Schizosaccharomyces pombe: one gene and its partner. The protein of the gene in region 2 interacts with the protein of the main gene of each other region in a biochemical or structural test. Each region holds a gene or a part of one and is shown on either strand. Other genes may lie near its edges. The genes, in order: opy1 and its3.

Evidence for each region.
Region 1: the proteins of its3 (region 2) and opy1 form a complex in vitro, tested with the Schizosaccharomyces pombe proteins (one study listed by BioGRID).

Annotation. Positions count from the first base shown.
Region 1 is NC_003421.2:944,617-948,545, reverse strand, and holds the start of opy1 (protein opy1), read left to right. Parts: upstream 1-2,161; 5' UTR 2,162-2,285; coding exon 2,286-2,405; exon of another isoform or gene 2,406-2,686; coding exon 2,687-2,749; exon of another isoform or gene 2,750-2,799; coding exon 2,800-2,875; exon of another isoform or gene 2,876-2,913; coding exon 2,914-3,674; 3' UTR 3,675-3,929. Other genes in the region: ade10 (bifunctional IMP cyclohydrolase/phosphoribosylaminoimidazolecarboxamideformyltransferase), read left to right, coding at 1-714. UniProt on the Schizosaccharomyces pombe protein: Binds phosphatidylinositol 4,5-bisphosphate (PtdIns(4,5)P2/PIP2) at the cell membrane.
Region 2 is NC_003424.3:4,070,136-4,074,064, forward strand, and holds the start of its3 (1-phosphatidylinositol-4-phosphate 5-kinase Its3), read left to right. Parts: upstream 1-2,000; 5' UTR 2,001-2,240; coding exon 2,241-3,929. Other genes in the region: protein Poz1, read right to left, coding at 1-37, 132-478, 516-621. UniProt on the Schizosaccharomyces pombe protein: Catalyzes the phosphorylation of phosphatidylinositol 4-phosphate on the fifth hydroxyl of the myo-inositol ring, to form phosphatidylinositol 4,5-bisphosphate. Involved, together with the calcineurin ppb1, in cytokinesis.

The DNA of each region.
Region 1 (3,929 bases), on a different chromosome or scaffold from region 2:
AAGAAGGGTGGTAAATACTGTGTATTGCAAATGGACCCCAAGTATGTTCCCGCCGAAATTGAGACTCGCCAGGTCTACGGTATTAGCTTACAACAGCATCGCAACCATGCCAAGATTGACTTCAGCCTTTTTGAGAAAGTTGTTAGTAAGAACAAGGATTTACCCAAATCTGCTCTTATTGATTTGGTTATTGCTACCACTGCTCTTAAGTATACTCAAAGTAACTCTGTTTGCTATGCTAAGAATGGTATGGTTGTTGGACTTGGTGCTGGTCAACAATCCCGCATTCATTGCAACCGTTTGGCCGGTGATAAGGCTGATAACTGGTGGCTTCGTCATCACCCTAAAGTCTTGGGTATGCAATTTAAGAAGTCTGCTAAGCGTCCTGAGAAATCTAACGCTATTGACTTGTACGTCCTTGATGCCGTTCCTGCTGAAGGTAGTGAACGTGAGCAATGGGAGTCTGCATTCGAGACTATTCCCGAGCCTCTTACTAAAAAGGAGCGGGAGGAATTTTTGGCTACTTGCAAGGATGTTGTCTGTGCCAGTGATGCCTTCTTCCCCTTCCCTGACAACATCTATCGTCTTGCCCAAAGCGGTGTCAAATATGTTGCTGCACCTGGCGGTAGTGTCATGGATCAAGCTGTTCGCGACACTGCTAATGAGTTCAACATGGTCTTTTCCGAGATCCCCTTGCGTTTGTTCCACCATTAATCTTGTTTGTATACCTAATTTTTGACCACTATTACTATGGATATAATTTTTTTTGTTCTGTATATTTGATAGGTTTCCTCAGTTTATACCATCATTTAATAGAGGTATTACAATAAAGACTTCAACGTCTTTTACTTTTTTTGATTTAATATAAAAAAATTTGGCATCTTTTTTGTATCCTGAATTTTGAAAAGATTTCCGATACTCAAGGCATTTTATTTCAGTAATAGTAGGGAAAATATTTTTTATTGTTTAACACGAATGCAACAATTTTATTCGAAAGCTTGGAAATTCACAGCATAACGGGCTCAATAAAGCATTTTTGGTTGCTAAGCTAACATATGAAGTAGAAAGGAAAACGCCATCAAACCTGCTTTTTGGATGTGAGCTTCGCAGTAAACTGACTGAGTTAAACATGTTCTTGGGTGTTTGCAAATTTCTATTAAATTGATTGAGCGTATGTTTTTGCTGCAGTTGATTTGAAGCATAAAAAATCCGGTCAGGGAGGGACTCGAACCCTCGACCTCACGATTAACAGTCGTGCGCAATAACCAACTATGCTACCCGACCTTAGTTACTCACGAGCAAAATTAGTACTATTTAATGGTATTAAAAAGGATTTAATGACTTTAAAATTGTTTTTTTTTTAACCCCATTCTTGCTTGATATATTTCCCATCTTAAAGGGTTACATACTCTTATTCTTTTATCTTTCATTCGATTGTGATTGATTTACCATATCAATAATCATCTTACAAGACCGGAAACTATCAACTATCTGGACGTAAAGTGAAGCATAAAGAAGATGGCATAGAGGACGGAAGGGAATTTTTATTATTATTCCAAGAAACCATGCTAAAATCACGTTTAAACCCTACTCCCTACTAACTCAGTATCTACTGAGTAGCTTTCATAGGTCTCGAACCGAATGGGAAAGACCAACGCTTTCTACATTAGAGAAAGTGGTTCTCTAAAAAATATTTAAAAAAGTATTTCTTTCTTGTTGCTTTTCTTTTTGTTACAGCGAACAAGTGCTCCCTTTAAATAGCTTTTTTGTTTTCATCCTGCCAGTCCTTACAACAATCCCTTACCACTGTGCACCAATACAACCTAAAGTTGAATTTCTGTAACAGTAGGATTTACAAAAGTTCTTTTGATTCTTAATTAGTATACGAGATGTAGCACTTCTACACGATTACTGTGTCCATGTACTATATGGTTGTATGCCTCTCAAAATAAAGATGACATATTTTCAGACTACCTTTTTCAAAAAGAAGGCTTCTCAATTCTACTGCTACAATTTATTCGTACTATCATTTCTATTATTGAAATTTCTCTACCATACATTTTAATTTCACTTGACAAATAGCGATACGTTAATGAACGCTATTACTGAATATGTACGTCGCTGGTACCACTAACACGTATGCGTTAGGAAACGTGATTTTAACCAAAATCTGTATAGAGGACGACTTTACATCGTTCTAGTTTAACACCTTTCAGTTTAAGGAATTTTCTTGATGTATTCAAAAGAAAGAAGGCGTTTATTAGTTTGACTATTCGCTTGATGAAATGGACCCAGGAGTTTCATCGCATCTCAGAACTGCTAGCCTTGATGAAGCAAGAAGGCTTCCAGAGCTTGAGCGTGTTTTAAAATCCGGATGGTTGATAAAGAAAGGACATGCAACTTCTGTATGTATTCATTAACTTAGTTGTCTGAGTAATATTTACGATACGTTTGAGTGGAAAGGGATTTGGAGTATTCTTTAATTTTGTGAAGTGTACTTAGAAGTGAATGATACGTACTCTTAATTCTTTATTGTTCGCTTTTGATTTGGGGATATGATGATGCAAACAGCACCCTACAAGCACTTTGACCAATTGATTTTCAGAATATTCCAATTATTTGCTTCCCGTTTCAGAGTCAATATTTGCACTCATGGTTTTTTTTGTAGTGGATGCTAACAACCTAGACTAAAAAGCAATTATGGGCTGTTCTTCGCAGAGATCAGTTATCTTTTTACAAAGACGAAAAGGTTTGTGAATAAAATGTGCAAATTTCAACGACGCGCTAACAGTCTTCAAGGAGTACAAAACCAAATTTATTTTCCCTACTCAGGATATTTCAGCTGTTGCCTACTACAAAGAAAAATCACCAAAAAGTACGTTAGAATTTTTGATGTTTATATCTAATGTTTAGCTTTTTTCCTGTATTTAAATGAAAAGATAATTCGTCTCATTGCCACTTCAAATGAGGATGCTGAGGAATGGGTTCATGTTCTAAGATCCACAACGGGTTATAGGGCACCGTTTTCAAGACATCCTATCAGTTATATCCTTGCGAACTCTTCATCTCGAACCGAAAGCGAGCCTAACGTTCAGATCTCTGATACTGACTTCGACAATATTTCGACTGAACCTCGTAATCAAACGACTTCTCCTTTAGACTTGGAAACTGGTCAGGGTGACCATTTCTGTACTTCACTTTATGATTTGATACAGTTTGGAAAGTTGAGACCACCAGGTATCAATGAAGAAAATGCAAATTACCCCTTCAACCCACAAGAAGTTAATACGCTGAATAAGCACAGGCATTCGGCTTCCTTACAAAATCTCTATAAACTCTTGGATGAAAATAAAGTTCTTATGCAAGGAACCATTCACTGGCTACATGGAAATTTACATAGGTGGTCCAAGTGTTGGGCTGTTGTTCGTGGATATGGTATGACTATTTACAACACGAACCGAGAGTACAAACCTGTTAAAGTGATACCGATAGCCGACATTCAGGATGTTGCTGAAATAAACGTTCCGGAAAGCTCACACAAATACTTTTTTACCGTAATTACGCAAAACAAACCTATCGAATTTCGCGTTGATAACGAAGATTCACTTATACTCTGGGTTGCTGCACTTAAGACTTCTATTGACAAGGCCAATGGTACTTTTACTGCTTGTTAAAAATGGCTTTTCCATCAAAATATTTGGTGCATAATACGATTCCTCAGCTACTTTTCTAGCTACCTTCTTGTGATTTCCTTTCATAAGACTCCCCTTACCCTTCGTGTACATACGTGTTGATCCGTTCTGTTTCTATATGTTTTGACTATCTCGTTGTTTTTTTTTTGTCTAATAATATTTCCGATAATGTCCGAAAATCGACACAGCTAGTTACAAAAGTGTCTTTCTTGCTCTAATTTAATGATTTTTTTCCTT
Region 2 (3,929 bases):
GATCGATTGGTTCCTGCTCTAGAAAATGAAAGGCCATCTAGAATACATCAAACATCATCTGTTAGCAAACTTATATTAAACGATGAATAGAAAAACAAAGATTGTCTTCTATTCGTTGATTTGGTCCTTACCCAACGGCAAATGCCTGCCTTTGCACAGCTGTATAATTTCAAAGCTTCATTGTTTAGAGTTTCTTTATTAAGTAAAAGTTCATTAGTGTATTTAACAAGGCCATCTTCCCTCATACAATTTTGGCGTTCCAGTTCTATATTCTCTAGCCTCTCTAAAGCATTGCTAATAAGAGAATATTCCCAAAGAATTTGTTGACTATCCGGCTGAGTTTGGGTAATCGGAAGGTTTTGAAATGAAGAAGGGTCAAGCGAAAGATTGAAGCAATACTCAATGAATGCGATATCCATGAATATCGGCATTTTTTCATGACACATTGATTTCGAATAACCCAAATATCGTAAGCAGGCTAATTGGTTAATGATTTTCAAGATTGGCTTTCATACCGTTCACAATGGAAGATTCTTCTCTCTGCATATCATAATGATTTTCCTTGATGAAAAACGTTTCTAGTGTATTCAGCACAGATTGTGAACGAATCTTCTCATTCATTTTATGGAAAAAACTAATCTATACACGAAGGATAAAAGTATAAAAAGTTGGTAAAGTCAATGTAAGTTGGTCTACGAGATAAAATGAATACCATTCCGTAAGAGAAAATAAATCATTTAATAAAGAAATCTAAAAACGAATGGATCGAATAGCTTTGTCTACTGTTATGTTTCTTGGAACATCGTACAGAAGACGAATTTAACTCCTTAAAGAAGTGTATTTTGTTTAATGTTATAAATTATTCCCTTAAACAGTGAACTGCTTTATCCAAAAAAGCGGTAAGCAAAATTTCCAAATGAAAAAAGTATTTGAATGGAAGATCGACTTTGGCGTGACAAAAGAATAAATTTTACTCTCCATTTTAAGTCCTTCATTTTCATAACGCTATGCCAATTACCTTGGATCACGGTGGTGTTTGTGCCTTAAGACATGAAAAGCTTACGAAATAAACATGCTTTAGGCGATTGATCATTTCTTCCAAGATATTTTTCCTTATTCAATCTCAAAAATTACTCTAATTTGTTATTTGCTAGAACTAAATGATCCATCTGATTGAATGTTTTTACTACCCAAGCCTCTTAAGATTCTATCCGAAGTTCTTTATTTACTTGTGCACAAAACCCGAAGGAATGGGAAAAGCAATTATCTATCTAGTAAGACAAAAAACATTAGATACTGTCCTTTGATTATAATTTCAATGGATTCTTAAAGTTGAATATTCAGTGCTAGCTTCTTTATATTATAGACATTCAAAGTAAACTTGAGAACGAAGAAAAGGAATATTGGATATTTCCTTTTTCTTTTTGTTAAATATATATATATATATATATTTTTGGAAAATAAAAATAAATTGATATGTTTGAAATAAACGAAGTATACGTTATGTGTATCTTACTTTAATTTTTTTTAACTTTATTTTATTATTTATTTTTTTTTTAAGGAAATTTCAAATCTTTAGATTTTCAAAATAGCTCAATCATTTGCTGTACTTATCCATGCAAGCTTAATCATTATAAATTGATTAATAGAGGTTCTAAAAAGTAAGCCTTTATAAAATTGGATTTACAGCATCCAGCTCTTCACGCAACACACCCATATCGATGCTTTTGTTTACGTTGAGCAGATTCGTTTTGTTTACATTCAACGAAATCGACGTTGTCAACGACTTCAAACATCGCAAGCTTATGGACTATTCGCAATAATGGAACTGGGTTTCAGAAGTTTTTGGCTTGGTAAATTCGGGATTGCTCCTTTCCCATACAGAAAGCGATAATTTTATCCATTTACTGCCATTAGTGCGAATTATTGGAGAATGTGCCGGACAATTCGGTGAACTCCGGTGACTTTATATATCTAGGGAAGAAACTGGTAGAAACAACACTTCGCTGGTATCAAGTGTTTTGCGGTGAAAGAGTTGATAAAAAAGAGAATTAAGCTGCTCTTTTCGGTAAATTAAAACATTTTGAATAACTTGGGAAAAAACTTGCTTTTGTAGGAACTGAAAAACGACGAAATTGACGTCTTCAAATTGTTTGTTAAAAAACGGAATCAAAAATTGTGTTTGGAGTCCATTGGCGAGTAAATTTTTAACTCTTCATATATGTTTGTAGGAAACACTAATGAAAATTGATTCAAACGGCATAGTGAATCCGCATTCTATAACGAACGAAATCCCTTCGTATGATGAAAAGCAGGCTGTCGATTTGAATGGGAATGCTTTTGCTCCAAATGGTACGTTTCAAAAAAAGGATTTGATATCCCATAAAAACGATTTCGAACGTACGATGCGCCACGATGTTCTTCATACCAACCCCAAAATCGAAGTTCGGTCGGAGACCCATATTTATGAACCTAACGATTCATTATTTAAGGAAAATCAAGATTTCCCCTCAAATCCCACTGCCCACTCTCCTTCTTCCTCTTCTAACGATTCGGTAATTACGGCTACTGGCGTACCTGATGGTATCTTGAGAGATTCTCCCATCGTAAGTGCCCTCGAGCCTCCTTCCTCCAATTCTTCCTCTTCTCCCCAATTACAAAATTTAAAGCATCAATTATCCTCTCCTCAACCTTCTCGCGCCCCCATAGATCGCTCTTCCTCCAACCCTGTAACCTCATCTCAGCAGCCACCTAATGATCGTTCCACGCTCAGCTCCTCGCAGAAGGCGAAGCGGCCGCTAAAGCGATCTTACTCCGAAAAAAATTCTAGCAACGCTGAACCTTCTGGCTCGAGATCCGGCGACCGAGGTACCAACGTCAGTACCTCGGGTTCTCTTTTGGATGGCATTCCCCCCGATATTGGCTCTGCTAGCTGGGCTGAAGCAGTCAAACAAAAACGTGTTAACATGCGCCGTCGCAGGGAAGAACTGGACGATGAGTGCGTTCTCGTTGGAACTAGAGTTTCAGAGGGCCATGAAAACTATGTTACAGCGTACAACATGCTTACTGGAATTCGCGTCGGTGTTTCTCGTTGCCAAGCGAAAATGGACCGTGAGCTTACTCCTGCTGATTTTACTGCTCGTCACAAGTTTACCTTTGACATTACTGGCAACGAACTCACTCCCTCCGCCAAGTATGATTTTAAGTTCAAAGATTATGCACCTTGGGTATTTAGACATCTAAGGCAGCTGTTTCATTTAGATGCTGCAGATTATCTTGTATCTCTTACCAGTAAGTACATTTTGTCTGAGTTAGATTCTCCTGGGAAAAGTGGTTCTTTTTTTTATTTTTCTCGTGACTATCGATTCATTATTAAAACAATCCATCACTCTGAGCACAAATTTTTGCGTGAAATTCTTTATGATTACTACGAACACGTCAAGAATAATCCGAACACATTGATTTCGCAATTTTATGGGTTGCATAGGGTAAAATTACCCTTTGGCCGAAAAATCCATTTTGTTGTAATGAACAACCTTTTCCCACCTCATCGTGATATCCACCAAACTTTTGATCTCAAAGGATCCACCCTAGGAAGGGAACTCGACGAAAATCAACCTTGTCAAAGTCCCATGTGTACAATGAAAGATACAAATTGGATTCGCAGAAATATGCATCTTCAGTTTGGTCCTTTAAAGCGTCAGATATTCTTAACTCAGGTCAAAGCCGATATTGATATGCTGTCCTCTTTAGGAATTATGGATTACAGTTTACTTGTCGGCATCCATGACCTTTCACGTGGTAATCGTGACAAAATTCGTAATAGCATTCTGTCAGTTTACGACCCAAATGTGTCGCAACATCGAGTGCCCTCGATTAATGGCAATGAATCTCACTCAAACGTTCATGTAATCAGACAAGTCGTTAAT